3 linked regions of the Diceros bicornis minor genome follow. The protein of the gene in region 3 purifies or fractionates together with the protein of the main gene of each other region. This does not show direct contact. Links are inferred from orthologs where the notes say so. Each region holds a gene or a part of one and is shown on either strand. Other genes may lie near its edges. The genes, in order: CXXC1, SETD1A and BOD1L1.

What was found.
Region 1: the proteins of BOD1L1 (region 3) and CXXC1 purify together in Homo sapiens (affinity purification with mass spectrometry; 5 studies listed by BioGRID and IntAct, counting the BioPlex papers as one, with this or other methods). This does not show direct contact. The link is inferred for Diceros bicornis minor from reciprocal best matches to the Homo sapiens genes BOD1L1 and CXXC1.
Region 2: the proteins of BOD1L1 (region 3) and SETD1A purify together in Homo sapiens (affinity purification with mass spectrometry; 3 studies listed by BioGRID and IntAct, with this or other methods). This does not show direct contact. The link is inferred for Diceros bicornis minor from reciprocal best matches to the Homo sapiens genes BOD1L1 and SETD1A.

The regions. Positions count from the first base shown.
Region 1 is NC_080755.1:42,776,577-42,785,920, reverse strand, and holds the start of CXXC1 (CXXC-type zinc finger protein 1), read left to right. Parts: upstream 1-4,755; 5' UTR 4,756-4,886; coding exon 4,887-4,889; intron 4,890-5,729; coding exon 5,730-5,848; intron 5,849-5,948; coding exon 5,949-6,049; intron 6,050-6,359; coding exon 6,360-6,595; intron 6,596-6,686; coding exon 6,687-6,863; intron 6,864-7,273; coding exon 7,274-7,300; intron 7,301-7,377; coding exon 7,378-7,623; intron 7,624-7,789; coding exon 7,790-7,897; intron 7,898-8,066; coding exon 8,067-8,251; intron 8,252-8,560; coding exon 8,561-8,768; intron 8,769-8,847; coding exon 8,848-8,958; intron 8,959-9,090; coding exon 9,091-9,140; intron 9,141-9,287; coding exon 9,288-9,344. UniProt on the Homo sapiens protein: Transcriptional activator that exhibits a unique DNA binding specificity for CpG unmethylated motifs with a preference for CpGG.
Region 2 is NC_080765.1:21,049,737-21,060,112, reverse strand, and holds the start of SETD1A (histone-lysine N-methyltransferase SETD1A), read left to right. Parts: upstream 1-5,639; 5' UTR 5,640-7,776; exon of another isoform or gene 7,777-7,815; intron 7,816-7,964; exon of another isoform or gene 7,965-7,988; intron 7,989-8,081; exon of another isoform or gene 8,082-8,242; intron 8,243-8,570; 5' UTR 8,571-8,585; coding exon 8,586-8,735; intron 8,736-8,958; coding exon 8,959-9,054; intron 9,055-10,376. Other genes in the region: ORAI3 (protein orai-3), read left to right, coding at 1,004-1,231, 4,150-4,809. UniProt on the Homo sapiens protein: Histone methyltransferase that catalyzes methyl group transfer from S-adenosyl-L-methionine to the epsilon-amino group of 'Lys-4' of histone H3 (H3K4) via a non-processive mechanism.
Region 3 is NC_080747.1:10,456,381-10,466,717, reverse strand, and holds the start of BOD1L1 (biorientation of chromosomes in cell division protein 1-like 1), read left to right. Parts: upstream 1-6,332; 5' UTR 6,333-6,431; coding exon 6,432-6,668; intron 6,669-6,778; exon of another isoform or gene 6,779-6,990; coding exon of another isoform or gene 6,991-7,107; intron 7,108-10,337. UniProt on the Homo sapiens protein: Component of the fork protection machinery required to protect stalled/damaged replication forks from uncontrolled DNA2-dependent resection.

The sequences.
Region 1 (9,344 bases), on a different chromosome or scaffold from region 3:
GGAGACCAAATAGCCTAAGAGTCAGTAAAAAAAACAACAGGTTCATGAAGTGGAGTGTTGGCTGGGGCTATGAAAATGGCTTTTGAATTCTTCCCACGGAGCACAGAGACTACACCTGCTTTTGATTCTGGGTAGCTGACAGTGAGATTTAACAGTGGTAGCAGAGTAGCTGCCACCCTTCCATCTAAAGCCAAGATGACCAGAGGGTTAGGTCAACTGCACTCAACAAGCCCTGTCTAGTGAGCCACATCCTATCTGGGAAAGAGATAGCAGTCTTTTCTTCACTCCAGAGAGAGTGAGCAGTGTGAGCACATAAATCCAAAAAACTTAGCATTAGGCCCCTAAATTTGGGGTGGGGGGGCGGTTATCAGCCTCCTGTGGGCAGAGGTATGATAATGCCTTGGGTCACTGACACTAAGGCTTTGACTTGCCAACCAACAGGTTATTATCTATTTAGTGAAAGCTTTGGAATCAGGATAGAAGCACTCGCACTAAATCCTGACCCACCCACTGGTGGCAAGGGCAGGGGAATTTGTCCCATAACACTTTCTACCTGTAGCTCTGTCCTAAAGGGGAGAATCTCCCCTGGAAGTTTATGAGCATTTATAGTACAAGCATATAACACATCAATTTCATTACACATTTGGCAGAGGAAGTTATAACAACAGTAGATTAATTGGCCAGAGGCCTCACCCATATGGTCTCTTTAATGGTCTCTTTTTTTCCTTTTCACTGTGAGTTTTGCCGGAACTCTATCAGGAAATCATGTTACCTTATGGCTGGGAACTTCAGGAGTGCTGGAGGGCAGTGGAGGCCAGGCAGCAGAGGTTGGCCAGCACAGCTGAGGAGCCTTTTTCATCCTTTGGCTCCTTGCCCACAGGATGTCTTTTCCTCCCCTGTGCTTGTCTTCCTTGGTTTGGGAGGAGTCCAGGGCATTCTACCAAGGCTCAGTTAGAAGGCAATAAAGCTTTGCCTACTTGGCCTTTGTGGAGATATATAAGGTCATCAGGGTTCCATGGTATAACTAGTCCCCTGCAATATTGCAAATATTAAACCAATTTTGCATTCTTGGGATCGTTATTCTTGGTATAAATACACTTGCTCATGGTGTATTATCCTTTTTATAAATTGCTGGATTCAATTTGCTAATATTTTGTTATGACTTTTGCATCTGTGTAGTAAAGAATTTAACCCTGTCCAAAGAGAGACCTGGCCTTTGCCCTCCTCGGCTTCTGGCTTCTGGGAGGTAATCTCTAAACCCTTTAATGTCACACCCGACAGGAGTATCTTTGTTTGCCTGGAGGTCTCTTGGTCACTGGATAGTCTAATAAGGTGATTTAAGGTGAGGGATTTGGGTCACATGGTATCAACTCAACCTCCTGAGGGCCTAGAAACTGAGTTCTGGCACACAGGCAGTCAATGGTGCCTATGTAATGGAACACCAATAAAGACTCTAGACATCAAGGCTCAGGTGAGCTTCCCCGGTTGACAATTCTCCATGCATATTGTCACATATCATCACTGGGAGCAGCTAACTCTGTCCATGAATCCTCTGGGAGAGGATAACTGGAAGCTCTGAATTTAGAACCCTCCTGGACTCTGTCTTACTGCTGATTTTAATCTGTATCCTCTCCCTGTGATAACTGTGAGTATAACAGCTTTCAGTGAGTCCTTCTAGCAAGTTAGTTGGGGACCCCCAAACTGGCAATTGGTGTCAGAAGTAGGTATGATCTCCTTACTCTTAAACTTAAACTTAAACCCTTAAATTCTGCAGTGGCCTCAGAAGTAAAGATGGTCTCTTGGAAACTGTTCCTCAAACTTTGCAGGATCTATGCTCATGGGGTATATTGGTCTGTCATTTTCTTTTCTTGTAATGTCTTTGTCTGTTTTGGTATCAGGGAAATGATTCCCAAAATGAATTGGGAAGTATTCCTTCCTCCTCTATTTCCTCAAAGACTTTGCATAGGATTGCTCTTTTTTCCTCCTTAAATATTTGAATTTACTATCAAAACTATTTGGGGGCCGGCCCCCTGGCTTAGGGGTTAAGTGCGCGTGCTCCGATGCTGGTGGCCCGTGTTCGGATCCCAGGCACGCACCGACACACCGCTTGTCCGGCCATGCTGAGGCTGTGTTCCACATACAGCAACTAGAAGGATGTGCAGCTATGACATACAACTATCTACTAGGGCTTTGGGGGAAAAAAATAAAATAAATAAAATTAAAAAAAAAACTATTTGGGCTTCGAGTTTTCTTTGTGGGAAGGTTTTTAATTAGAAATTGAAATAATTTCATAGTGATATGGCTAGTCAAATTTTCCATTTCTTCATGTGTTAGTTTTGGTAAGCTGCCTTTTTCAAGGAATTTGTCTATTTTATCTAAGTAGTCAAATAAATTGTATTAGGTTAGTATAAATGTGTGAATAATAGTCTCTTTTTAATATCTGTAAGATCTGTACTGATGGCTCTTTTTTCACTCATGATGTGGGTAATTTATGTTTTCTCATTGTTTTTTCCTAATTAAATAAATCATATTTAATTTAATAAATTATATTTCAAAATATAGTAATTGAATATAAATTTAGTTAAATCAATTTAATTAATTACATGACTATAAAATTTAGTTTAGTGAATTTGAATTAAAATTTAAATGTGGCAAATTAAATTGAATGAATTAAACTAAATCATATTAAATAAAATGTAATATAATAAATTAAAATTAAAAGATACACAATGACATCAGGGTTGAATAAATTAAATATTAAATTATTTAAACCAAATTACATTTAATAAGTCAAAATTCAATTATGTTAAATTAAATTTGAGTAATTAAATTTAAGTTAAACTTGAGCTATATTCCCTCAAACTTATTTTCATACACTCAATGTTAATTAAATTAAAATTGAATTATATAAAATTCATTAATTGATGTGAAAATAAATTTATCTAAGTACCTTACTAACACATAAAAATTTGATTATACTAGAGTTAATTTAACACATTAAATGAAAAACTAAATTTAAAGAATTAAATTATGTTAATTAAAATAAATTACAATCAAATTAAGATTAATTCGAAATTAATTGATAAATAAAAATGAGAAGTCATGCTGGATCTGAAGGTCTCTGTTTTCTGGATTAAAAACCCCTTTTAAGAGGAGAAGATCACAGAACCTTTGTTGCTGCCCATGTGTCTTGACGTCTGTGATGGTGTGGAAGGGATGGGAAAGAAAAATGTTTAGGAAAGGTGAGGAAAAAAAATCGGACCTCCTAAGCCACGAGCAGCAAAATCATCAGTAACAAATAAGTTGCTACAGTGTCCAGAACCAAGAAATCTAGAAAAACTGTTAGCCACGGGTGAAACATCTCATTCTCCCCAGAATCCTCTCCTCAACCCAAAATAAATACAGTCGTTCTCACTTTGAACATGGACATGTGGACATTTACTATGACCATGATTCCCATATCTAGGAAATAAGTGTTGCATATAAAATAAGTGCACATAAAATAACGCTAACATGTATCTCATTTGACCTCCATGGTCGCCCAGGTTAGATCATTATCCTGCAGAGATATCTAGCTCTCTGACCTGTACAGACTTTTTTTTTTTTGCTGAGGAAGATTCCCCCTTAGCTAACATCAGCTGCAAATCTTCCTCCTTTTTTTTTTTTGTATGTGAGCAGCAGCCCCAGCATGGCACTGACAGACAAATGGTGTATGTCCTGGCCTGAGAACTGAACCCTGGCCACTGATGGGGAGCATGTGGAACTTAACCACTAAGCCACCCAGGCTCTCCCCTCCCCGACTTTTTTTATTGTACACAATTTAAGTTCTTTAAAATAATTTTAAATTAACTTTATTGGAGAGAATATTGAATACTGAATTTGTATGAAACAAGAGAACCAAACTGGACATCACCAGGAACAAGACAAATCTACACTCTGCTGGTGGCAGGATCAGGGGAGAGGTTGGTGAAGACGATTGTCCCTGATTTCAAAATCTACTTTGTTCTGGCCACTTCTCTCACCAGAGGTGATCAGGCCACGATCGCGTCTGGCCTTCTTTCGTCGCTCGGGACTAATTCTGAGGGATGAGAGTGTTCCTGCAAAGGCCCAGAGGCTGAACCGTGCTAGGCCTGGCTGAGCAACTGCAAGGAGAGTGGGAAAGAGTGGCGGGAGGTGGTGTCGGAGATCTAACAGGTGGACTGGTTTCCTTCGCAGCGCAAGGCACACAGTCTTCTGGCGCCCCATTAATACATGTGGAAGGGAAAAGTGATTGAATAGCGGAATGAATACGACTTGATCGAGATAGTATTTCGGGATCGGTCGCTTTCCCTGTGAACTGGGCAGTGCAAGCTGCCGGCGTACGGAATCAACCACCAAGATGGCGGGGCCCTCGAGGAAGCCACGATTAGGACGCTGCCATGTATTGCCTCTGACCGTACAGACTAGGCCATTTTACGGAACCAGATTCCAAGATGGCGGCGTCCTCGTAGAATTCGCGTTGGCGCGGCCATATTGCCTGTAACGTCCGGGCCGTAAAGCAGTCACCGTACGGACTCTACCGACAAGGTGGCGGCGCCCTTGGGAAAGCAGCGTTATAGGCGCGGCCATGTTTCCTGCGAATGTATGGACTCGGATGCCATACAGTATCAGTAGTCAAGATGGCGGCGCCTGAGGGACAGGCGGGGCTCTAGGAGGGGGACCTACTTGTTTGTCGTTGAAGCCGACGCACCGGGCCTGCGCAATAGGAGTACGGTGCCCGGGAGGCGCGACCAGAGGCGGAAGTAGCTGTGGGCGCCTTTGCAACGGCTGCGGACGCTGCCCAGTAGTCTGTGTGGGTTCGCGGGTCGCTGGCGGGGGTCGCGAGGCGGTGCCCCGGGAGCTGAGAGATGGTGAGTACGGGTCCGGGGAGGGGGTCGGCAGTAGAGGTCAGTCGGGTTGGTAATGGTGGGGTCCGTCGGCAGACTCACGGGGGTCTGTGGGGAACCGTAACAGGAGTCTGTGGGCAGAATGGTGCGGCCTGTGGTGAGCCTCAGCAGGGGTCTGTGGGTAGTATGATGGGGGACTGATGGCCTGATTTTTTTTCTGCTGTGTGAGTTTTGTGGGAGTCTGGGAGTTCTGTGATGAGCCATGTGGGGATCCGGAATGGAAGTTTAGTGGGGATCCCTGATTGTAGTTCCGGGGGGCCCCAGATGGGGCTTCTTTAGGCAAAGTGATAAGGGGTTTGCGACGAGCCGTATTGGGCACTCAGTAGTGAGCCATGATGAGTGTATTAGGGGATCCGTAGGGAACCGGGATGGGGGCAGGGTTGTCAGTGGGGTTAATAACGGGAGATCTGTGGAGAGCTGTGTTGGGAAGTGAGTAAATCACGTTGGTGTCTGACAACCTGTGGTGGGGTCTGTGAGGAGCCATTTTGGGGGCAATATGTGGTGAGTGGTAGAGTGTAATGAGCCCTTATGAGTGTGTGGATAGAGTGATGGGGTGTTAGCCGGCTAAGTAATGGGAGATCTGGGGCAGAGTGATGGCGTTTATTAGCAGAGTAACGGGGTGTCAGGGGTGAGTGGTGGGGGAGGTCTGTGGAGACCGTGATGGAGAGGTTTGTGAGGAGCTATGATAGGAGGTCTGTTGGCAGAGTGTTGGGGTCTGTGGTGCGCCATGGCGGAGCTGTAATGGAGGAATGAGACACTATGATGGGCGTTCTCTAAGGAGCCATAATGGGGGACTTCCCACAGGAGGGGGATGGTTCAGACCCAGAGCCTCCAGATGCTGGGGAGGACAGCAAGTCGGAGAATGGGGAGAATGCGCCCATCTACTGCATCTGCCGCAAACCGGACATCAACTGCTTCATGATGTGAGCCGGGGAGAGGTGGGCGGGGCTGACACCTGTCAAGGTTGGGCAAGGCCATAGGTCCGGCCCCTCATATCTCCACCACTCGCCCCATCCTCTGCAGCGGGTGTGACAACTGCAATGAGTGGTTCCATGGGGACTGCATCCGGATCACTGAGAAGATGGCCAAGGCCATCCGCGAGTGGTACTGTCGGGAGTGCCGAGGTGAGGGGGGTGGAAAGGACAGGGCAGGCAAGTGGGACTTCCAGGGAGAAGGAGGAGCCATAATGGGAGGGTGGGTCGTGGGGAGTAGTGATATATGTTCTTGGGCAGAGTGAGTGTTGGTCTGTTGTGAGCTAAAGTGAAGGCTCCATTGTGAGCCATAATGGAGGGTCCCACCAGAGGGGGCAGTTCTGCCCTGGACTAGGGGGACAGAGCAGGTGGGTGGGACAGAAAAGGAGAGAAGAGGAAGAAGAGTTCTGGGACCATCGAAATCCTCCAATGTCACCCCCCGGCTCCCCGCTCTGCTCCATAGAGAAAGACCCCAAGCTGGAGATCCGCTATCGGCACAAGAAGTCACGCGAGCGGGACAGCAATGAGCGAGACGGCAGTGAGCCCCGGGATGAGGGTGGAGGGCGCAAGAGGCCTGCCCCGGATCCGGACCTGCAGCGCCGGGCGGGGTCAGGGACAGGGGTTGGGGCCATGCTTGCTCGGGGCTCTGCTTCGCCCCACAAATCATCTCCACAGCCCTTGGTGGCCACACCCAGCCAGGTGAGTGGCTGCAGTGGCTGGGATAGATAAGGTGATCCCACCTCAGGTCCTACTTGAGTTCCTGATTTCTGTTCTGGGTCCCTCCCCCCAGCATCACCAGCAGCAACAGCAAATCAAACGGTCAGCCCGCATGTGTGGTGAGTGCGAGGCCTGCCGGCGCACTGAGGACTGTGGCCACTGCGACTTCTGCCGGGACATGAAGAAATTTGGGGGCCCCAACAAGATCCGGCAGAAGTGCCGGCTGCGTCAGTGCCAGCTACGGGCCCGGGTGAGCCTGGGTGGAGTTGGGCAGGGTCAGGTGGGGTGGAGGGGGCCAGTGTGTCCAGGAAGAGCTAAAATGGGTGGGCCGGGTGGGGTGGGGCCTAATTGCATACAGACAGGTGGGAAGGAGCCTGGCCTGTCCAGATGAATGGGGCCTGACCAGGTGTGCTGGGCCAGCAGGGGAGCCCCCCAAACCCAGGTGGGCAAGATAGGGCCAGATGTTTCTAGGTGATCAGACATGTCAGGGCAGGGAGGGCAGGGCTGAGCATGTCCTGGTGATGAGGGGAGAAGGGGCAGGTGTGTCTGGGGAAGCAAGGCAGGGCTAGTTGGTGGGGCCAAGCACTTGTGGGAGGGGCTAGGGCAGGGCCACCCTCCATCTACCTGGGGCTGACCTGGGCCTTCCTCCTGCCGGCACAGGAATCGTACAAGTACTTCCCTTCTTCGGTGAGTCCAGCCTCCCAGAGCGGGGCAGGGCATGTGGGCAGGGCAGTCAGGGCCAGTCCTGAGATTCTGCCCTGCAGCTCTCGCCAGTGACACCCTCAGAGTCCCTGCCAAGGCCTCGTCGGCCACTGCCCACACAGCAGCAGCCACAGCCATCACAGAAACCAGGGCGCATCCGTGAGGATGAGGGGGCAGTGGCATCAGCAGCAGTCAAGGAGCCACCTGAGGCTACGGCCACGCCTGAGCCACTCTCAGATGAAGACCTACCACTGGACCCTGACCTATACCAGGACTTCTGTGCAGGGGCCTTTGATGACCATGGCCTGGTGAGCAGGCAGGGTCCCGTGGTGGAAGGGTAGAGGTTACAGAAGTAGAGAGTATCCATAATGAGAAGAGAGAAGGCAGAGGATGTGGAAGGCTGATTTGGGAACTAAATAGTTGGTGGGGTAGTCATGGGTGGTACAGATGGGCCAGTGTCTGCCTCACCTGCAGCCCTGGATGAGCGACACAGAGGAGTCCCCATTCCTGGATCCCGCACTGCGGAAGAGGGCAGTGAAAGTGAAGCATGTGAAGCGTCGGGAGAAGAAGTCTGAGAAGAAGGTGATGGAGAGGGTGAAATGGGTGTGGGAAGGCAGAGGGTAGGGTGGGGAGGGAGAGGCAAAGGCTAGGGGCCGCATGGGGCAAGAGCCAGGAAGGGGTGGAATGCAGGGGGAGATGGGTCTGGGGCAGACTTCAACTCCACCCTGACCTGAACTGCCTTGTCCCATAGAAAGAGGAGAGATACAAGCGGCATCGGCAAAAGCAGAAGCACAAGGACAAATGGAAACACCCGGAGCGTGCTGATGCCAAGGACCCTGCATCGCTACCGCAGTGCCTGGGGCCTGGCTGTGTGCGCCCTGCCCAGCCTGGCTCCAAGTATTGTTCAGACGACTGTGGCATGAAGCTGGCAGCCAAGTGAGTCATTCCTGGGGGGTTCAAGGGACACAGGGAGTACGGGGTAGGGCATGACCAGAGCCTTCTGTATGTCTGCCAGTCACCTGTCCCATTTAGTCAACTAGGCACCCACTTATCCATTCACTCACTCATCCATCTATCTGTTCACCCTTCCATCCACCATTCAGCTCATCCATCTACCACTCAGTCAGCTATCTACTTATCCTTTCACCATTTAGTCACCTATCCATTCTGCCATCCTTGGGTTATCCCACTTACTCATCTTGTTGTTTGCCACCTGCCCACACCCAACCCACTGCCTCCCTGCAGCCGCATCTACGAGATCCTCCCCCAGCGCATCCAGCAGTGGCAGCAGAGCCCCTGCATTGCTGAGGAGCACGGCAAGAAGCTGCTTGAACGTATTCGCCGTGAGCAGCAGAGTGCCCGAACCCGCCTTCAGGAAATGGAGCGCCGATTCCATGAGCTTGAGGCCATCATTCTGCGTGCCAAGCAGCAGGCTGTGCGCGAGGACGAGGAGGTAAGCAAGCACAGGCACAGCAGTGCAGGGCCCAGCACCTGGTCCTGCCCATCCTCATTGTTCCTTCTACCCCATGCAGAGCAATGAGGGTGACAGTGATGACACGGACCTGCAGATCTTTTGCGTCTCCTGTGGGCATCCCATCAACCCACGTGTTGCCTTGCGCCACATGGAGCGCTGCTATGCCAAGGTCAGGTGTTAGCCTGAGGGGTAGGGGACCCTCAGTGGGCCCATGGGCGGTCAGATGTGTCTTCTGGGTCTTGTCTTGGGAGGGCATGCAGCACACATCCACAGTTCCCTCCACTTGTGCTCATCCCTCCAGTATGAGAGCCAGACGTCCTTTGGGTCCATGTACCCCACACGCATTGAGGGGTGAGTGTGGGCGCCACGTGGAATTAGAGGAGGGAGGTTAAGGCTGGGTTCAGGAGTGGAATGGTGGGGCAGGATATGGGCATGGGCAAGGATAGGTGGGCCCCCCTCCTCTGTTTCCATTACCCTCTCTCAACTCTAAACCGCCAGGGCCACACGACTCTTCTGTGATGTCTACAATCCTCAGAGCAAGACATACTGTAAGCG
Region 2 (10,376 bases), on a different chromosome or scaffold from region 3:
GTTTGGGGAGCCAGGGGGAGGAGTCGGGGCCTGGTCCCGTCCCTCAGCCCAGGCCTCCCCGGGGAGCCGGGTTGTACCATGTAGGGGAGGGGTGATCTTTCCACATACCTCAGGTAACAGGGAGGTGCGCGGGTAGGGGGGAGGGACTGGGCGGACCAAAGGCCGGAGGGGAGGGGGTCCTGGGGATCGCGAAAGGCTTGAGGATGGGGCCGCTTAGGGGAGAGGGAGGAGGCAGCCCTGCGGGGGATAAGTGGGGGACCCAGCCGGGCTGGGCCCCTGGGCCCCGGGTCTGTACAATACGGTTTGCTATAAAACTCAAAATCTTCTAGCCGGGGCCGCCGAGTTCGTGTGTCTTTCTGCGGCGTTGGGGGCGGGCGGCGGGGGGCGGTAGGGCGGAGATGACCGGAGTGCTCACCTTTCGGGGCTCTCGGAGGAGGGGGCTGTTTGGATGGATCCGGGGGGCTTCGGACCTCCTAGGCTTCTCGGAACTGAGGATACAGGGCCTTCTGCGGTCCCTGCGGATGAATGGGCTCACCTCTGAATTCAGTATTTAGGTGGGGGTTTGGACATCTAGGGGTGTCCAGGTGTACCTCGAATGGTCCAGGGCCCGGGAACTTCCAGTCACTGGCTGGGACTGGGCGTTCATCTCAGCAAGACTCGGGCACCTGGATGAGATCCTGGGTGGACTGGGGTCGCAGGGTCCCTTGGGATCTCTGCGGACGGTCCCTCGGCTCCACCCCATCATGTGGTCGCCCGGCTCCGCCTCCGCCCTAGTTCCTGTTTCGGTCTTTGCTGTACCGTTTCGGCTCCTGGGGTTCTCCGCCAACGCCTGCTCTTCCTGCTCCGCCCTGGCTGCCTTTTCTTGGGCGCCCGCCGCCCGCATCCTCGCTCGCCCCGCCGGGGTATGGGGCCTTTCCCCGGCCTGGGCCGGCCCTGCTGGGGCCCCCGAGGAGACTCGGCCCCACCGTGACCACCCAGCCCGCCTGGTGCTGCGGCCCCGAGAATGAGGGGCGGCAAGGGGGACGCGGGCGAACAGGCCCCGCTGAACCCGGAGGCCGAGAGCCCCGCGGGCTCGGCCACGTACCGAGAGTTCGTGCACCGCGGCTACTTGGACCTCATGGGGGCCAGTCAGCACTCGCTGCGGGCGCTCAGCTGGCGCCGCCTCTACCTCAGCCGGGCCAAGCTCAAAGCCTCCAGCCGCACGTCTGCCCTGCTCTCGGGCTTCGCCATGGTGAGGGGAGGGAAGGGGCGCACAGGGTGGGGGTGAGGCACATGGGGGGCACGGAGCCGTTGGCGAAGTGAACGGATACTCAAGGGAGAGAGGACAGAGGCAAGGAAAAGATGGGGTTCTAAGGTAAAAGAAGAGAACAAACAAGGTCCAAGGGACTATACAAGTCCCTTTTTGGGGAGTGGGGGGTGTGTATTTGTATGTAAGCAGATCTCTAGTAGAATGGGCCATAGGGATAAGCAAGTCACAGAAGTTTCATGGGGGACACAAGTCATGTCATGGGGGTAGACAAATCACCAAAGGGGATAACATATGCAAAGATGGGACAAAGAGGTCCAAAAGGAGCTTAGCCCAGGCAGAAGTGATTACTAGGTCCCCATGAGAGATTCAAAGGGAAATCAGAGCTGGGTGGGGGCTGTATAAACAGGACTAGGGCTGGGGGTGGTCAGAGAGGGTAAGCTGGGCGGAAAGGTCACCCAACTGAAGGTGGGCCCATCTCAAGGAGGGCAGCTAGTACCCAGCAGGCACAAAGAAGGCTTAGCATAGCCCAGGGAGGCTTTGAAAAGAAAGGAAGCGGCTAGGGAAAGAAACTGATTAGGAAGCTGATACATGATTCTTAAGCTGATAAACTGCAGGTGTGGGCGGATGATATCAGCTAATAGTCCCAGCAGAGGCCTCCTAGGAAGTGGGATTGAGGGAGGTCCTAGGGTGAGGAGTAGTCAGCAGGCACGAGTCCTGGCTCCTCCCTGCTTGTGGCCAGCTATGTGACTCTGGACAGGCCTCCACCCCCTTGCAGGCCAGTGGGAAATTGTGAGATCACAGAGGGTGCGCCCTCTGTAGCCTGCCAAGTGCCCACCCCAGGATGAGCTGTGATTCTTGTCATCAAACCCTAGATCCAAGCATGTCAGAGCAAGACACACATCAGAGATGGCTCAGACTACCTGATAATTGGACAGGCATGGAAACCAAGGCACAGAATGGGGCAGTGGCTCTGCCAAGAGCACTCAGCAGATGAAGGATATAGAATGGAATAGGACCCAGGGTCACTGGACTGTTAGTCCAGTGTTTCCCCACCATCATGACAGGAAGAAGGAGAAAGTGGGCTGGAGGGGGGTCCTCATAGGAACAAGCTCCTGCAGGGGTTGGGGGTGGTCCAGATGAGGATAGAGGGATCATAGCACTAGGTGATTTGGTTAGTCCCTCGTCCCTCTCTGTGCCACAGTCTCTGTACTTGAACGATGAGAGAGAAAGTCTCTATCCCTTAGGGTCATCTTAAGTCTATGGTTTTCTGTGTGGGAGCCCAGGATCCACAGGCCAGCCCACTCTTCCTGATGTGGGGTCATCGAGGGACAGGGAGTTGACTCCCCTTCCCCTGTACAGACTGCAGAGAGAAGGGAACAGCCCCGTGGACCTAGCTGAGGGAGTCCCCCACCCCCATTTACCCCATGGTCCAGCCTGTTCCCAAGGGCACAATCCGGCCTGCTACTGGACTTGCAGGTTGCTGGGGCAACAGCTTAAGGACCAGGACCTTCTCTGCAGGATCAAGAGGCCAGATGAGTAAGTTCTGGGGGCAGGACTGGCCCCAGTCCTGCCAAGGGAGTGCAAGGCTGGGTCAAGCTCTGGGAGAAACCAGGACTAGGCCTGGCCCAGATCCCTGTCTATGGAAACCACCTGCTGACACCCGCCATGGCCCAGTTTCCCAAAATACTCAGCCTTGTCTTCCTACTACCACCCTCCAGGCTCTGCACCTTCCTTCTCCCAGGCCCAGAGCAATCGAATGGATCCTGCAAGAACCAGGCGTGGGGAAAGATCCAGGTGGCTTAGGTTAGAATAACACTATATAAGTTGTATTGAACTGTCACTAAGTACCAGGCATTGTACTTAGGGCTTTTATGTACATCATCTTTCTATTATCTTATGAAGTAGGAACCTCTACTATGGCCATTTTACAGATGAGAAAACTGAGGATCAGAGATGTTAAGACACCTGCCCAGGGTCCCACAGCAAGGAGGTGGCAGGATTTGAACTTGGCTCTAGAGTCCAAATTTATACAAGCCTAGAACAGGATCATCAACTTAAATGTTTGCAAAGGCCAGGCAGGTAATATGGACAGCAAGTTGGCTGGGTGGGGCCTGTGGCTATCAAGAGACCCCATGGCCTGTTCAAAGGGAGCAGCCATGACAACTCTAGCTGATAGTTGCCATGCAGGAATGTGGGCCTGGTGTAACCAGATCTTGCAAATTTTCAAGAGGATCTGGAAATAGGCATATTTATATGAAATCTCTTGAGTTTTAAAAGTTGGCAACTTAATTCTTTAAAAAACACACTGCATGAGCCAAGCAAAACATGTCTGTAAGCTGGCTTGGGTTCACGGTGTGCCAGTGTGCAAACTCTGGCCTTGGACTTTCAGAGTCCACTCTAAATAATAACAGCAAACGGTGCTTGCTATGTGCCTTGTGCTATTCTTATCACTTGATGTATATTATCTCATTTAATTTTCACAACAACCCTATAAGGCAGGTAGATGCTATTATCAGTCCCCATTTTTCAGATGAGGAAATTGAGGCACAGAGACAACTAAGTCACTTGCTCAGGATTACATAGCTTGTGGAGCTGAGAATGAACCCAGGCAGCCCAGCCCCAGAATCTGTGCTTTTTAACCCCTGTGTTATAACAAGGTAAGATTGTCAGAAATGTCATCCAGCCCTCTTGATAGCCTAGTGTGGAAACCAAGGCCCAGAACAGGACAGAGCCTTGGCAGTGCTGCCCATTCACTCGCTCAACAAAGGCTAGGTGCCTTCTTTCTGCCAGGCAGTGTTCTAGGTCCTAGGGATACATCAGTGATGTATACCAACAGGCAAAAACTCCTGTACTGTTGAGGAGGTTATGGGCACTCAATCTATTTCCTCTTGTCCCCACAGGTGGCCATGGTGGAGGTGCAACTGGAGAGCAACCACGACTACCCACCAGGCCTGCTGGTGGCCTTTAGTGCCTGCACCACCGTGCTAGTAGCGGTGCACCTCTTTGCACTCATGGTCTCCACGTGTCTGCTGCCCCACATTGAAGCCGTTAGCAACATCCACAACCTCAACTCTGTCCACCAGTCTCCACACCAGCGACTCCACCGTTACGTGGAGCTGGCCTGGGGCTTCTCCACTGCCTTGGGCACTTTCCTCTTCCTCGCTGAAGTTGTCCTGGTTGGCTGGGTCAAGTTTGTGCCCATTGGGGCCCCCTTGGGCACGCCAGCCCCTGTGGTACCTGCCTCCCAGGTGCCTGGGACTCTGCCATCAGTGACCAGTTCCCTTAGTCCAGCTTCCAAGCCGTCCTCTGCTTCTCTAGCCCCGTCACAGGCTGAGCCATCTGAGGCCTGCCCACCCCGGCAAGTGTGTGGTGGGGGCGGGGCCCATGGACCAGGCTGGCAAGCAGCCATGGCCTCCACGGCAATCATGGTACCTGTAGGGCTTGTGTTCGTGGCCTTCGCCCTGCATTTCTACCGCTCTTTGGTGGCACACAAGACAGACCGCCACAAGCAAGAGCTAGAGGAGCTAAGTCGCCTGCAGGGGGAGCTGCAGGCTGTGTGACGCTGGTGTGAGCCCCAGCTGCAAGCACTGCCTCCCTCAGGGGTCTGCAGACCCCATCCCTGCCCCTGCCTGGAGACACTTCCTGTGGCCACTCTCAGGTAGAGACCAGATTTCTGCTCTCAGGGTCCTTTGGGCTGGGCCTTGGGGCAGCTCCCACATTCCCAGGGATTCTCCATCAGTCGGTCCTATAGGTTTTCTAAGTTCTACTCTACAGCTGGGCTGGGAGGAGGTGGAGGGCCTCAGTCCGAGGCCACTGCGGTAGGCGGAGGGGAGGGCAAGGAGACCCTGGTCAGACCTTTGGTGCTGACCCTTATCCACTCGCCGCTATACAGGATGTGGAGGTCAGAAGGTTACACGCCCACCCAGCTGCCCCAGAAGGCAGCCAACTCTTGCTTTATTTTTGTAGAATCTGTTTTATGGTTGGCATTTCTGGGGAAGTTTTCCCCATCCTCAGATTTTGATGGGTTTTACACTCTTGCTTTAGTTGCTGTAGAGAGAGATTTGGGTGTTTTTACCCCAGGCATAGGTCCAGGAAGAGCCTCCCTATTTTGGGAGGTTCAAGTGCCTGCCCCACTGCCCTAGACCCACACTTACGCTTCTATATCTGGTTCTCACTCTCCTGGACCAGGGCTGGGGGTCTACGTGTCCAGCCTGACTCCCTAGCAGGGGTTGGGGTGAGGAGGTTTTAAGGGAGAAGGTCCAGTCCCTAGTCCTTGAAATACAGAGCTCTTCTGACACTGAATTTTTGATGCACCTTGTTTTGTATAATAAATTGTGTTTCACAGATGTCCCTGTGGCTGTGAATGGGGTGAACGGGAGGCCTCCTTGGGGTCAGGTGACTTGTTCCTTAAGAGTCAGATGGAGGCAAGTGTACCTGGGGGTGGGAGAGAGAGGGTACCAGGTATGACTCCCTTCTGGTGCTGACAGGGACCAGTAGCTTCTGAATGTGGAGACCGCATTACTCTAAGGCTAAAGGCTTTTGCCTCTTGTCCTTGAGCCCAGGATCTTTTATCTCTTCCATTGAGGATTTAATATGTTTCTTTTAGTTTAAGTTTCTTTCTTGAGTGACTACTACTTACTAGGAGCTTTTCATAGGTTATCTTTTTTAACGTACCTAATTTATTTTATTTAACAACCACCTCAAGAGACAAGTCTTTATCATTACCATTTCAGAGATAAGGAAGCTGAGACCCAAGAAGGCTGAGGATTCTGCCCAAAGCCACACAACTAGTCAATGAAAACCTGGACTACCTTTACTGTCACATGAAGTCTGTTTGAGAAAAGGAGCAAATACCTTTCAGCTGGGACAAGAGAAAGGCATCTGATCTCATCACCCATGCTTCCATGCAAATTTATTTTTTCAGCCTCATTTTCTTCAAAATTTTAAAGGGTCCCAATCCTCTCTCTTCTATTCTTATGGTGTGAGATCTTGGGCAAGTCCTCCTTTTTTTCTTTTCCTATTACTTAAAATGGTGAATTTGCATGAACCAGGCTTCAAGGGCCTTTCCTGCACTGTTCTGATGCCTACAATAGACCTGCAGGACAGGAATTAACATTCATTTTCAGAGAAAGAATCTGAAGCTTTGGGAGGTTAATGACTTGCCCAAGGTCACACAGCGAGGGACTGACGCAGAGATGTCTGGAACCCAGGGCATCTTCAGCTCAGGCAGAGGTGCCTCCTGGGAATGCCATTACCTAGAGACCAGGATACCCTGCTTCCAAAACGGAGAAAAAGGGTGCCCAGCATCAGGGCGACTTCAGCCCCAGGGTCCCAGGTGTAAGCCTGGGCTGGTGCTGCCCTCGAGCGGTGGGACCGCGTAAACATAGGGGGCACACGGCTGAAAACGGCGGGCACTGGGACCACGATGCCTGGAGAATCGACCAGCCCACCCTAGTTCCTGTAGGACCTAGTTTATTATTTTTTACAGGACCCGTTCAAGGGTCTTTAGGCCCCATCAAGTTTACCACAGAGCTTTGAGATAGCCTCGGATTTAATCACTAATAGTAGGCCCAGTACGTGCAAAATGCGGTATCTTCTGCGAGGCTCAGTCTCCCCATCTGTCAAATGGGCACCTTAGACAGCTAGAGGCCCAAGGGGGATAACGGGAGGAAAACGCTCCCTGCATTATGTGCAGCGCCGGGCAAACGGCCTGAGTCACCGCTGCTGGTTGTATTTTTCCACCTCCCGGGCGCCCCTCCCAGCCCGCCCCGGTTTCAGTGGGTCCTACAGGAAGCGCCCGCACGACACCGGGCTCCGCACGCTGACCACGCCCTCTGCGCGCTGTGCCTTGGCCCCGCCCACAGAAGAATTCACAAATTCGCTAGGCCGGCTCCTCCTCAGAATTGCTCGGGGCCTTCTATACTCCGCCGAAAAATTCTCATCGGACTCCGAGAGGACCTTTGGGCCGTAGCCATTTCCCCCGGGTCGGAATTGGGCAGTCCTCTGAGTTGTGCTAGTAAGAAAGATCCAGAGAAATTGGCCAACTCTGCCAACAGGGCTTGGCTAACCAGCCGTTATTTTCTTGACTCCATCAACGCGGGTGAAGGGAGGCGACAGCTGAGGCCAGGACTTGTGGCGAATCTGCAGCCTCTTAGACCTTTGGCCGCCCGAGGAAGGGGCCGGAAAGACGAGCAAAGGAGCGCGCATCCTGTCCACCGATTCGCCCCGCCCGCTTGACGAATCTGCGCCTGTTCAACGCGCCAGTCAAATCTCCCCAGCTCTGGCTGGCCTCTTCCCCTCCGCCCCGCCCCCTTTTCCTCAGGGATTAGTCGCTGCTTTCGTCGCCGCCGATTCGTCAAGGACCCCAGTCCAGAGCAGCTGGATAGTCGTGGTGAAGCCCACTCTCCGGGGGATGCGGCCAATCTTCAGGCTCCCTGGGCCGCAACTCGCAAGCCTTATAGGGCACCGGTCGAGGCGAAGCCGCTATCCTCGGCCCCGTGGGTCTCCCGGCGGCACCCGTGGCGAAAGTGCGAATGTAGACGCTGTGCCCGTTGGGCCTCGCGCAGGTGGCGGTGGTGTTTGGTGCGCGCGCCGGGGAGGTGGTGGGGGGGGGGGCGCCGCCGCCGCCACCGCTGCGGGGCCGGGTCTCGCGCTGCCGCCGCCGCCGCCGCCGCCGCCGCCTCGCGCCGCTAAGGTGCCGCGCGGGGTGGGGGGAGGGGGAACCGCTCGCCACGAGCGGGTGAGTGGGGCCGCGCCGCGCGTGCGCGGAGATGGGGGGGGCAGAACGCGCCGGGGCGGGAGGAGAGGGCAGCGGCGCGCGTTCCCTTCACCACCCCCCCGCCCCGATTCGGGGCCGCAGCCGGGTCTCGGGCTCGGTCTCGCGGTGTTTCCAACGCCCCGAAGAGGTGCCACCTCTTGGCCAGAAGATCGGGGCGCGGGGACGAGAGCGGGTGTGTGGGAGCGGGACCCGGGCTTGGCCCGGGCCGCTGGCCGGTGAGGAGGCGGGAGGGGGCGGGGCCTGCCAGGGGGCGGGGGAAGGGTCTTGCGCGGAGGCCAAGTGGGGCGCGCGCTAGGGAGAGCGGGAAGGTAAGGGGGCGCGAGATGGGCTTGGGGGCCTGAGGGGAGAGTTGGGAGGTGGAGAGAGAATGAGGTGTTGTGGGAAACAGGGTACTTGGGGGAAAATCTGGGGGAGCCACGGGTCATGGTGAGGTGTGGAAACTGGGGTGATCAGAGAATCTGGAGTCTGGGCTAGTCGGTAAGGGGCAGCAAGGGAGTCAGGCCTAAGTCTTGAACACCCCTGTGTATTCCTCTTTTCTAACAGTGTAAATGAGCAAAGATGGATCAGGAAGGTGGGGGAGATGGGCAGAAGGCCCCGAGCTTTCAGTGGCGGAACTATAAGCTCATCGTGGATCCTGCCTTGGACCCTGCCTTGCGCAGACCGTCTCAAAAGGTGTACCGCTATGATGGAGTCCACTTCAGTGTCAACGTGAGTGCCCCAGGCCTTTCCTTGCCTTCCAGGGCACTCCAGGCCCCATTCTCCTCTGTTACCTCTGTTCAACACCTAAAACAACCATGCCTATAGCGTGCATTCTTAAAAGTGGGCACCCACAGCTCTTCTCGTTTGCATATGGGTCTCCAGTTGGGCTTCCTAGAGCTCAATAACGTGGTTTCACCATGACCTATCTTTCTGTTCTTGCTTTCCTTCCTAGGACTCAAAGTATATACCAGTCGAAGACCTCCAAGATCCCCGTTGCCATGTCAGGTCCAAAAACAGAGACTTTTCCCTCCCAGTCCCTAAGTTTAAGGTATGTGTCTGCTAGCCTGCTGGTGTCGTGGCCCTTGGAGGGTGTGGAGGATCCATCCTGGCAGTCTAGTCTTAATGTAGCCTAATAAAAGGGAGTTTTCCAATGAAAGGATCACAGCCAGATCTGACTGTCTCTGAGGCTGTGAGACTGACTTGTTCTGGATAGGAGGTATGTTTATCTTCTAGAAGGGTGTAGGGGAGGTCTTCCAAGCAGGGGTATTCACTTCTTGAAGGATGAAGTAAAGACAGGTTTAGCTGCTATACCTATCATTCTGTATTCCTAGACATTGTGTAGCATGGCAGTGCTGTCCCCAGTGTGATACCTCAGTTTCTCAACAATTAAGGGGAGTGACAAGGCCAGGGACTCCATCCTTGGAGTCCTCTGTTCTTCACCCCTCAGTTGGCCATTTGATCCTCTGTCTTGTTTCCTTGCAGGATTCCCATTTCCCTATCTAGGCAAGATACTCATCCAGGCTTTGGACTGGGCCTAGAAAACTGATGGTTCTTAGTTTCCTTCACTAATTCTTTATTATTTTTCCTTTTTTAATAATTCATTTGTGGAGTTCCTTCACTGCTCTTTTTGCACTTTGTACACTCCCCTGGACACCTTCGACTATTACTGAAATGTCGATGGCTTCCAAATCTCTGTTTCCAGCCGAGATCAGTCTCTTGAACTCCAGACTTGTATGACTGGTAGAGGGACGGGTCCATCTGGAGGCCCAACAGACCACTCCAACTCAAGAGATCTAAAACAGATTATCTTTACCTGCTTAATCCTGCTCTCCCTTCCATTTTCCCTTTACTGATGAATGGCAGCGCCATCTACTCAGTTGCACAAGCTAGAAACCTGGGAGTCATTCTATGCTTCTCCTCTCCTTTATCTGTCACCAAATCCTGCTGACTCTTTTTCCTAAACATATCTCTTTTATATTTTCATTTTTCTGTTTTCATTGCCATGTCTTTTTCTGTGAGGAGATCAGCCCTGTGCTAACATCTGCCAATCCTCCTCTTTTTTTTTGCTGAGGAAGACTGGCCCTGGGCTAACATCCATGCCCATCTTCCTCCACTTTATATGTGACGCCACCACAGCATGGCTTGCCAAGCAGTGTGTTGGTGTGTGCCCAGGATCCGAACCGGCAATCCCCGGGCCTCCACAGCGGAGCGCGCACACTTAACTGCTTGCGCCACCGGGTCGGCCCCATCCTTGCCATGTCTTTAACGCAGGCTCTTATATTCACTTCACCTGGTTTCCTTGCCTCCATTCTCTTCTCCATTTCATGTTCCACCTTGCTGTCATTTGTCTTTTTGAGGTTACTGTTCTCT
Region 3 (10,337 bases):
CTACAAGGAACTTGAGTTACCAGTGTAATCATTGCCATTTGAACTTAAAACACGGTCAATAAAATTCAGTGTTACCTGAGATAAGCCAGCTGGCCACTCAGACTGGTCTCCACAGCAATACTTCAATTTGTTCACCACAGTGTGAGGCCCTGCCTTCAGTCTCACAAGGTCAGAAGAACATCAGTACACAAAGAATGGATCTGAATCCCAAGTGGTTTCACACTTAACCAAGTTTTTAGAGCCTTCTGCAAAAAAAAGATTCATAGGAAGAGATATAACCACCAAGTGGAGAGCTTCCTATATTTGCTGAACAACACTTTTTCTTCCTATAGGCAAACCCAAATGTGAAGCCAAATATGATCCAAAGGTTGTCTAATGATCACAGATCAGAAGAGGAATGAATTAGATGATTTTAATGGCTGGCGCCTAATAGCAAATGCATGCTCTCCGTAGAGACCATCCCAATTCTAGATACTTTGGATCCCTCCCTTTGGTAAATGCTATGCTAGCCATTTCCCCTCTGAAAAGATTCCCTATTCAGAGGTAGATTATTCTCATTACTTAGGTATACAATTTCTTGGTTATAATCACTATTTTCTCATCCCTCTCAGAATTTCTACCCAGAAGACTGGATTGGATTTAGGGTATTCAGACAACACCACATCATTTCCATAGATCTTCTTTTCATTTCTACTTTTCCTAATTTCATTCTGGGAAGTGTGACTCTTATTCGTTTTCAGGGTACCATGTACCATCTAGAACATTCAGGAAACACACACACATTAAGGCTGTTTTTTAAATAAAAATAATGTGCTTGAAGATTAACTCTTCTAAATGCAAAGCTCCTTTTCATCTTTATAAGCCTATAAAGGAATATCTTTTATTTCCAGCCATCTGCTATGGTGCCATCCCAATTGTCAAAATAGCCAGCAACTCAGTAACATTTAGAGACACTGGCTACTTAACCTCATAATAAATCTTACTTTTGTAAATCTGATTGCTATCGCTACTAGAAGTTTAAATCTTTTTTTAAATTTTTAAAATTTTCCCCCAGTTTGATCAAGATATTATTGATATAACATTAGTTTAAAGTGTACAACATAATGATTTTTCCCAACTTTTTTCCAGTTTTATTGCAAAATAATTAACATACATCATTGTATAAGTTTGAGGTATAGAACATGATAGTTTGATTTACATATATTATGAAATGATTACCGCAATAGGTTCAGCTAACATCTATCTTCTCATATAGATATAATAAAAAGAAAAGAAGGAAAAAAGGGAAAAAATTTCTCCTTGTGATGAGAACTCTTAAGATTTACTCTCTTAACAACTATCCTATGTATCGTACATCAGTGTTAACTATAGTCATCATGTTGTACATTACATCCCTAGTACTGATTTACCTTATAACTGGAAGTTTGTACCTTTTTTTTTTTTCTTTTGTGAGGAAGATCAGCCCTGAGCTAATATCCATGCTAATCCTCCTCTTTTTGCTGAGGAAGGCCGTCTCTGAGCTAACATCTATTGCCAATCCTCCTCCTTTTTTTTCCCCAAAGCCCCAGTAGATAGTTGTATGTCATAGTTGCACATCCTGCTAGTTGCTGTATGTGGGACGCAGCCTCAACATGGCCAGAGAAGCAGTGCGTCGGGGCGCACCCGGGATCCGAACCCAGGCCGCCAGCAGCGGAGCGCGCGCACTTAACCGCTAAGCCACGGGCCTGGCCCCAAGTGACAATTCTTTTAAGTTTTTTCAGGAGAAAAAGCCATCCCCCGTCTTACATTAACATTTTATCATGCTCTGCCCACCACCGTTTCCACCCTCATCAGCTATTTTATACTGCAGTAGAAATAGACGAATAGCTGTGACCATGGAGTTTGCTTTGGAAAGGCAAATGATACATCTTCTCCTCTCCCCTTCCTCTTACAGAAACTGTTAATGGGGTGCTTTGAACCTCGCCTAACAATGTGTTCTGTTATCACTGAAAAAGGGAACTTGCAAGGTTTCTACTTGGCTTTGGGAGAGAAAGTCATTTAGAAAATAACATTCACTAGTCTTTTGATTATGAAAGGCAAGGCCTAGGGCCTGGTTTGGAATGGAGATGCCCTGGAGTGGAGATGCCCTGGGGATGTGAGGGAAAGGAAACAAACAACTCTGCCTAAAAAGCCCCTGGGCTCCCTGGGGATAGGAGATCATCATATCTAAACCGATGCTTAACTTTCACTGGATCAGCCACCAGAAACAAGGTCTGCATTGGATAGGGGTGAATAGGGGGCAGGCTGGACTGTAGAAAAGAGAGGAAATCAGGAGCCAGGTACTTGGGAGGAGTCTGGTGCCCGAGGACACAGATGGCTGCCAGTAATGACCGCCATAATACCCGACCATTGTTCCACTCATTCCTAAAGGTTTTATAAAGTTTGTTTAACCATCACCTTAGCGTCAGACTTGGGAAACCAAATGAGAGCTCAATCATGTTCAGGGAGAAAATTTTTGATCCTTGTTGGGAGACTCTGAATTCAGACGTTCACACAGTGGGTAGCGGAGCACTGGCAGTTTTTTTTGAAGAGCTCATCTCACTCACACCCTCACTATTATCAAATATTATATTACTCTCTCTAAAGAAACAGTCAGAGGACATAACAAAGCAAAGAAGTCATTGGTAGGAAATGATGACTGCATAAAACAGCTTTTTTTTTTTTTTTTTTTTTTAAGATTTAAACGTATGCCATTATCCCCTCAGGTATTCACAATATTCATCCCCAGGACCTGTCTTCAAGTGGAAAGAAAATCACCTTAGAACAGCCAAAGCAGTAGAGATCAGTGACCCTGATTCTTCTCAATGTAACTAGAATGTTTTCCAAGGCTATAAAATTGTTCAAGTTACACTGTATCCACTGTATCCAGAGTAATTTGACCCCATGGATACAAATATTGTTATTTCTTTTAGATTCAGTGTGTTATTCTTTTTTTTTTATGCTTGGTAAGCTTTTATTCATCATTGTAATATTATACAAAATACTAAATATATATTAATAATAACATTTACTGAAACCTAATGGAAAAAAATTCCATCCATGACTGAAGCAAATGATATATTGTGCTTTGGAAATACATTTAAGAATAAACGTGCATATCCTACTAGAAGAAAATGTCATAATAAAACATGAATAATGGGGCAAAATAAAATATCTACAGGTGACAGGAATCAGTGTTCAAAGATGGCAGGTATTACAAAATGATTCTATAATTTTTTTTAAATGTGCCTGAGTGTCTTATATTTTTTTGTTATTTTTTTTAATTTTCAGGTGTACATCATTACACTTCTATTTCTGCATAGATTACACCATGTTCACCACCCAAATACTAATTACAATTCATCATCACACTGTTATTCAATGAGGCAGTTACTATACATTTTATAAAATCAATTGTGAATTATCTATTTAAGTTATAAGCAATTTTCACCTTATTATATTTCAGAAAATATTTAGGATTGTCTATATGCTACCCACAAAACACAAAACTATTTTCTAGTCACTGAACCAATTCATTTTTAGCAACAAATACCTTATTGTTTCATTTTTTTTTAATTTGATCATCATGCTTAATTAAATTTGTGGAGTTTTGCTGAATTTTTATGGATGATTCTTCTTTATTTATTCCCCAAAAACCAGATAAATTTGATACATTTGTATACACCAAAGAATTACCATGCTACACACAATAAATAACTTATACAATTTAGCAACATATTGTATTGCATTGTTGGTAATCAGGTAAACGGAAACATGTCATAGCCTCATCTTGTGTTCATAACTAATTTTGAAAATGGATAAAACAATTATATCTTACACCATTTTAATCTTGATGGCTTTTAGTAATACATTTTTTAAGTTTCACTCCATGACTGTCTCTCTGCAGTCTTCATTATACTCCTCAAAACGCATGACACTTTATTTGAATTGAAACAATGAAGTCCAACTGTTTCTGATGGAAAGTAAATCTGATTTGGCTAGTTTGATGGTGAAAATGGGCTCTGTTAACTAGGTTATATGACAAACATTTTCCATACTTGACAAACAGTTTCAACTTGAATGAGCTGTACCATTAGCTGAAAAGTTTTGACAAAAACGAATTGAACCACCTAATAACAATAAAAATGCATTTTATTCAAAACCATTTATGAAAATGAACAATGTTTAGATTTTTCCCAAACTATTGAGTATGTCAGGTCAAACAGGGTACATCTCATTGGAAAAAACAACAACAACAACAACAACAAAAAAACAGGTCTAATTCAGTCATTTGATGTCTTGATAAAGCCTGTTTGGCATATTTCCCAGAAACTGAAAAAATGAAAATAAAGGACTAGGTTAACAAACCCTTTGACAAGTTAGGTAGTTTTCAATCCTTTGCTCTCCACAAAATTGAAGGAGGGCCTAATTGAATAATCAGCTTACAGATCATCAAATCTAATTTTTTGAGATCAAGAATTGAGTGGCATTACTACATTAAAACTCTGTTCCCAAGTACAGCACTTGTTTATAAGAACACAATTTCTCAGGGCATAGTTATAAAAACTAGAAACAGGAATAGAATTGATACTCAACTCTTCTTGTTCTAGCAATAAGACATATTCATTCAGAGACATATGAATTTTAAAAAGCAATAATATCCATTCCACCAAGAGATGCATTTTCCAGTAAGTTCTACATTCTATTTAATAATTATGAAAATTTGTAATATTTATTTTGCTTTGATCGTGTACTAGTGACATTTTAAAGATAACTCAGTCCAGAATCAGGTGATTTGCTATGTAACCTTCAGCAATATCTTTAATCTCTCTGGGCTTCAGTTTCCTGCTTTGCAAATGGGGGACAGCAGTAGTAGGCCCTAGGTGCAGTGTTGTTCCAATGACTGAATGCGTTAATGCACGTAAAAGCTCTTAACGCCACGCCTGGCACATAGTGTGCGCTGTATGTGTGACCTGTTATTATTGTGGGAGATCAAGATTTGGCCACCCTGAAATATATCTCTTTACCTTGATTGTTTTCTCTGAGGGACATTTGACCTCCCCCAGTAACTGCCTAAAGAATTTGACATAATAACTCCTTCCTGGAACAGATTTTCTATCTGATGGCTGTAATATAATGTAAAATAGATGTTAGAATAGAAAAGGCACCAACAAGCCCATCTTATCAGAAGTTCTGTCTCTCTGGCCACATTCTCTGGATGGCCCTGTGAGGAGCTGCCAGACAAACATTTACATTTATAAGGGAAATCTCCATTTGTAAAGGTATCTCCCTCTCTGTATTGGGAAGAGGGGGGATGACCTCATTTCTAGAAACTTATCAATGTGGAAGGTGAGGCCTTAAATCTGCATGATAACCTTACTCTTGTTTACTGTGCTTTAGCGGTAATCTCCTGTAACTGACTCCCCCGGCCCCCAAAATCCTCCTGTCTTTAGCAAAAGATGATATTTAAGACAAGAATTTCTGCTATTGTGTTGAGAAACGCAGTGTCCCTGGTTTCTCCCATGTTTACATGTTATTAAAATTGGTATTATTTTCTCCTGCTAACCTGTCTTGTTAATTATTTGGCCAGCCATAAGAACCTAAGGGAAAGGGCAGAGGGGGATTCTCCCTCTTTCCCCAACATTATCAAATAGAAAAACCCTTACAACTAAAAACCCATGGGTTTGTGTTCACCGGCAGGAAGAAGGTGCTGGAGGGATGGGGTTCTAGTCAGCAGGCACACTTGGAGAGTAATAACAGATGCCTAAGGAAAAACAGGATGGGGCTGGGAGAAGAGATACAGGAGGCCCCCGAAGCTCCCTGCTTAGAAGAAATCTGGGCAGGATCATAGCCTGAGAACGAAAAGGGTTGGGAGAGCTTAGGATAAGCAGTTCCACGCACGGTTCGCATTCTCAAATCTATGGGTCTCAACTGCTGCGGGAAACAGGAGAGAGCGCGTCAGGCCTAAATGCCACCGTGGATCGAACGGGCCAGCGCCTCCCTCCCCCGCCGGGGCCTGCTCCGAGCAGGCGCCCAGTCGGCCCTCCCGCCAGGGCAGTCGCGCGGGTCGAACGCCCCACCGCCTTGGACTCCAGGCCCCCGCCCCGGCCCAGACCCCGCGGCCCACGGCGCGCTCCGCCTCCTCCCCGTCGCTTCCGACGCAGCCCGGCCGCGCGAGGGCGCCGGCGCCCGGCGGCGGCCGGAAATGGCCCCTCGCGGCTCCCGTCGCCGGACCTTCGTTGCTATTGTCACCTCCTTTTCCTCCCTTCCCCCGGTTCCCTTTCACTTCCGGGGTTGCTCTGGATCCGCTGGTTCCGTAACAACATCCCGTTGGCTTCCCTTAGGCGGCGGGACCTGTGCAGCCGCCGCCTCCCAGGAGCGCCCGCCCGCGCCCTCCCCGGCCCCAGGCCGCCATGGCCACCAACCCGCAGCCGCAGCCGCCTCCTCCGGCGCCGCCGCCTCCCCCGCCGCAGCCGCAGCCGCCGCCGCCACCACCGGGCCCCGGGGCTGGTCCCGGCGCGGGCGGGGCAGGCGGCGCGGGGGCCGGCGGCGGGGACCCGCAGCTCGTGGCCATGATCGTGAACCACCTCAAGAGCCAGGGGCTCTTCGACCAGTTCCGCAGGGACTGCCTGGCCGACGTGGACACCAAGGTTCGGGCGCGCGGGGCTGCGGGTGTGCGGGGGAAGGGGAGGACCCCGAGGGCCGCCTGCTCGAGCGGTCTCCCGCGCCCGTCGATGGGCCGGCTGCGCCTCGACTTCCCGGCCGGGGCCCCTCTCCAGCGCGCCTCTCCCCGAGTCCCCCGTGCAGCCGCTTCCTCTTCGCGCTGCTGCCCTGTGCCCGGCGCTGTGCAAGGCGCGGTGCGTTCATTCATTCGCCTGTGCGCCCGTTCGCTTAACCGACTAGTGGTGAGCACCTACTACGCTGCCGAGGCGCTGGGAACCTACCGCTGAGCAGGACCAAGTCGTTGTTCCCATGGAGACTCGTTTGGAAACACCAACGCTAACGGTGCTTTCATCTCTGATTAGTTTTCTTCCCGGTTTAGTTTGTATCCAAGTTATTTTTGCCTCCTCTCTTGAAGATTTCTGGGCGGTAAGGGTCATGTCTTTATTCTTTGGAGGAATTATTAAGTGATAATTGAGTCAGATTTGCAATGTGCATTTCTGGACATTGTAGGGATGCAAAGGTAGGGAGGCAGAGCTGGACAGTGGCAAGATGGGTTGGGGAGATCCGGGACTTTTGTTTCTACCAGTAACCGCTTCGTTTAGGTAGCTTAGGCCAAGTTACTCCTCTAAAGTGAGAAGGGAGGGAGAGGTGAGGAGTAGAGACAACTGAGCCATGCCGTGGGGGAAAGGATGGAGGAGAGGTGATAGCAGATATTGAAGTGGAGAAAGGACAGGACATGAAATGGAAGAAGAGTGAGTTGAGAGAGTAAGGGAGAGAGGGGAAAGGTCAGCAAAGTGGTTCCCTTCACAAAACGAGTTAGGGACTGGGAAGGGAAAGGGACTTTGTACCAAATGTCAGAGTGAGAGGGATGTTGGCAGAAACAGGTAAACTTAGCTGGTTTGGCAAAGAATGAGCAGAGGACACCAGGAAGAAGCCATCAGGTGAATTGGATGGAAAACCAGTAGGGTCTGGAATTCTGGAAGCAAGTGAAGCAGGAAGCTTCAGGTGGAAACAGTTGGAAAAGTGGGGGTGTTTTTGGTTTAGATCTGGTTGGATCCATGGAATTGGAGTTTTGATGGGGTGAGAGTTTCCTTGTAGCATGTTCGGCTGTTCTGAGGAGACTTGTTTCTTTGGGAAAGGGTTGTTTGCAACATACGCCGATTCTTCCCTGTGACTGTGTTCACCAGGCTTTGAGGTGAACTGCACAAAATCCCGCTGTCTCCTCTGGGAAAGCCCTCCTGACAATCTGGGGACATCTTCCCTTTTAAGGACTCTGGCCCACCATGTAGAACAGAAGTAAAATTTGCCTTTTCAGCATGTTGGAGTTTTTGCACACGGAGAATTCATTTTACATGGGGATGTTGATCTGTGTAGGAAGTATATAGTTTTCTCACTTTGTTTTAGAGAATATGCACAGCTACCTTTTTGAAAATAACTTTTGGAAAATAAAGAGGCTTGTTGCCTCTTTCTTTTTTTTTTAATGGAAGATTAGATTAGATGTGGCCAGGTAAATATTACCCAAATACACCTGGTTATTTGTATCGGGCAAGTAAAGATTTCATTTTGCTGTTCTCAGAAACCTACAGATCTCTGTTATCACTGTATATGCAAATTGAAAATTTAAATATACTGATGGGGGTGCTGCAGTATCTAAGGTTCAACTTTTTCTTCATCCCCATCCCCACTAAATGTTGTTGTTGTGTGCCAGATCCTCTCAAGGTGGAGCCTTCGAACCTTTCTTGGGAGGAAGGAGGGAAGCACAATTGCTTTGACAATCTGATGAAAGCTAGGACCTTCTCCCAAGAAGAATGCACATATACACATTAAAATGCTGTTTTTATAATTCAAAAATGGTCAACTATAGGCAATTTCATGTGATTCAACCTTATAGTTTCAGGGAATTCAGGGACCGCAGAATAAAGATTCCTTGTTTTAATGTTTGAGGCTAGAGAAGAACAGAACTGAAAGGATACCCCCACCCTGACAGAAGGGGGTGCCTGGGTATGGTTGAGATTGAAGTTCTCTCCTCACTCTTCATGTGTGCTCGCTCTCTCTCTCTCTCTCTCTCTCTCTGTCTCCGTCTCTCTCTCTGTCTCTCTGTCTCTCTCTCGTCTTTCTACCTCTGCACCTGTTGTTTCTGATTTTCTTGCTTCTTTCCCCGTTGACTATCTCCTTTTTCCTCCTCCTTCTCCTCCTGCTTTTCGTCCTCTTAGCTAGCAATTACGTAGATTTCAGTTTAAAATATTTGCTTTTGTTGAGTAGTGCTTTATACTCCTTTTCCTTATCTAAAAAAAAAGAGTAAGTTTGAGAGTCTCAAGAAACATACAAAAACCAAAGTTTTTTTTCATATAAGCTTAACATTCCTATCATTGTGATGAGTGGGCCAGAGTAGAAATAAGATTTCCTATTTGTGCACAGGAGCATCACTTTAATGGAATCCTTGGGTGTCAGCTCTTAAGAACACCTTACAGTTTAGACCTTTTGTGGTATGGTGCTTTTGATAATTGAACCCTGAAGACTGACTTGCTTTATGTCAAACTCTGACCTGTAGTATATAGTATACAGGGTTGTGGCAGTAACTGGATTGTCAGTTATGTGCATATTTAAGAAATGAGACATTTAATACCTATCAGGTTCTTTCCAAGAATAAAACTATCATCCAGTCCAGTGTGTTTAAAGCAAGATGAGAAGCACCAAAGTCTTCCACCACTCCAGGAGACATAGAACCCCCGAACTGTTATGGGGTCATTGATGGTCCATAACCAACCAAGAGAGATCCTATGGTAGCAGACCAATTCAGCCTTTCTACCCAAAGAGTTGGAACCTTGGGCAGCCCCAAGATCCACCTAATGCTGAGGCTCCTCTGCTCTAGACTACCAGTTCCCAGATGCGTGGAGCAAGCCGAGAGGTTACAAAGCCATTCTGATGCCTTTGCACTGATTAGCAACCGGAGAGTGAGGAGGGAAGATGAAGAGAGGCCCATTATTCTGTCCTAGGCAGGGAGCTCACCTTCCAAGTAAATATGGCACCTCTCTCCTCATGTAATAAAGGCCAATTTTTGGATACTTTCTCAGTTAAAAATGGCTCCTAGTCACTGTAATTATTGTCCTTTTTTCTCATTTTAGATTCAAAAGGAATATCAAAGACAGAGGTATATAACTTTATTCACCCAACAAATATGTATTCTGTACCAGGCACTGTTTTAGGTGCCAGGGAAACAGCAGTGAACAAAAAGTCCCTGGGTGTTGTGGCGCTTGCATCCCAGCGGAGACAAAGAGACAATAAATAATGTGTGATACGACCCTTGGAAGAAATAAAGCAGGATGAGGGTGGAAAGGATTGCTGACTTGTTTTGAGTAAGTTGTTCAGGAAAGATTTCAATAAGGTGATATTTGAGGCATCACTGAAGGAACTGAAGGAGCCAGGCAACTCTCTGGGGCTGAGCATTCCCAGTAGAGACCACAGCAAGTGCAGAAGGCCTAAAACAGAGCCAGCTAAGGGAGAAAGTGATAGAAGGTGAGATAGGAGTGCCCCTCCTTCCCTCCCTTCACAGATCTGGCAGGCCTTGGAAGCCGTTGTAAGAGTTTGGCTTTTACTTGAGCTGAGAAGCCATTGGCAGGTGTTGAGCGTAAGAAGGACATGATCTGACTTCCATT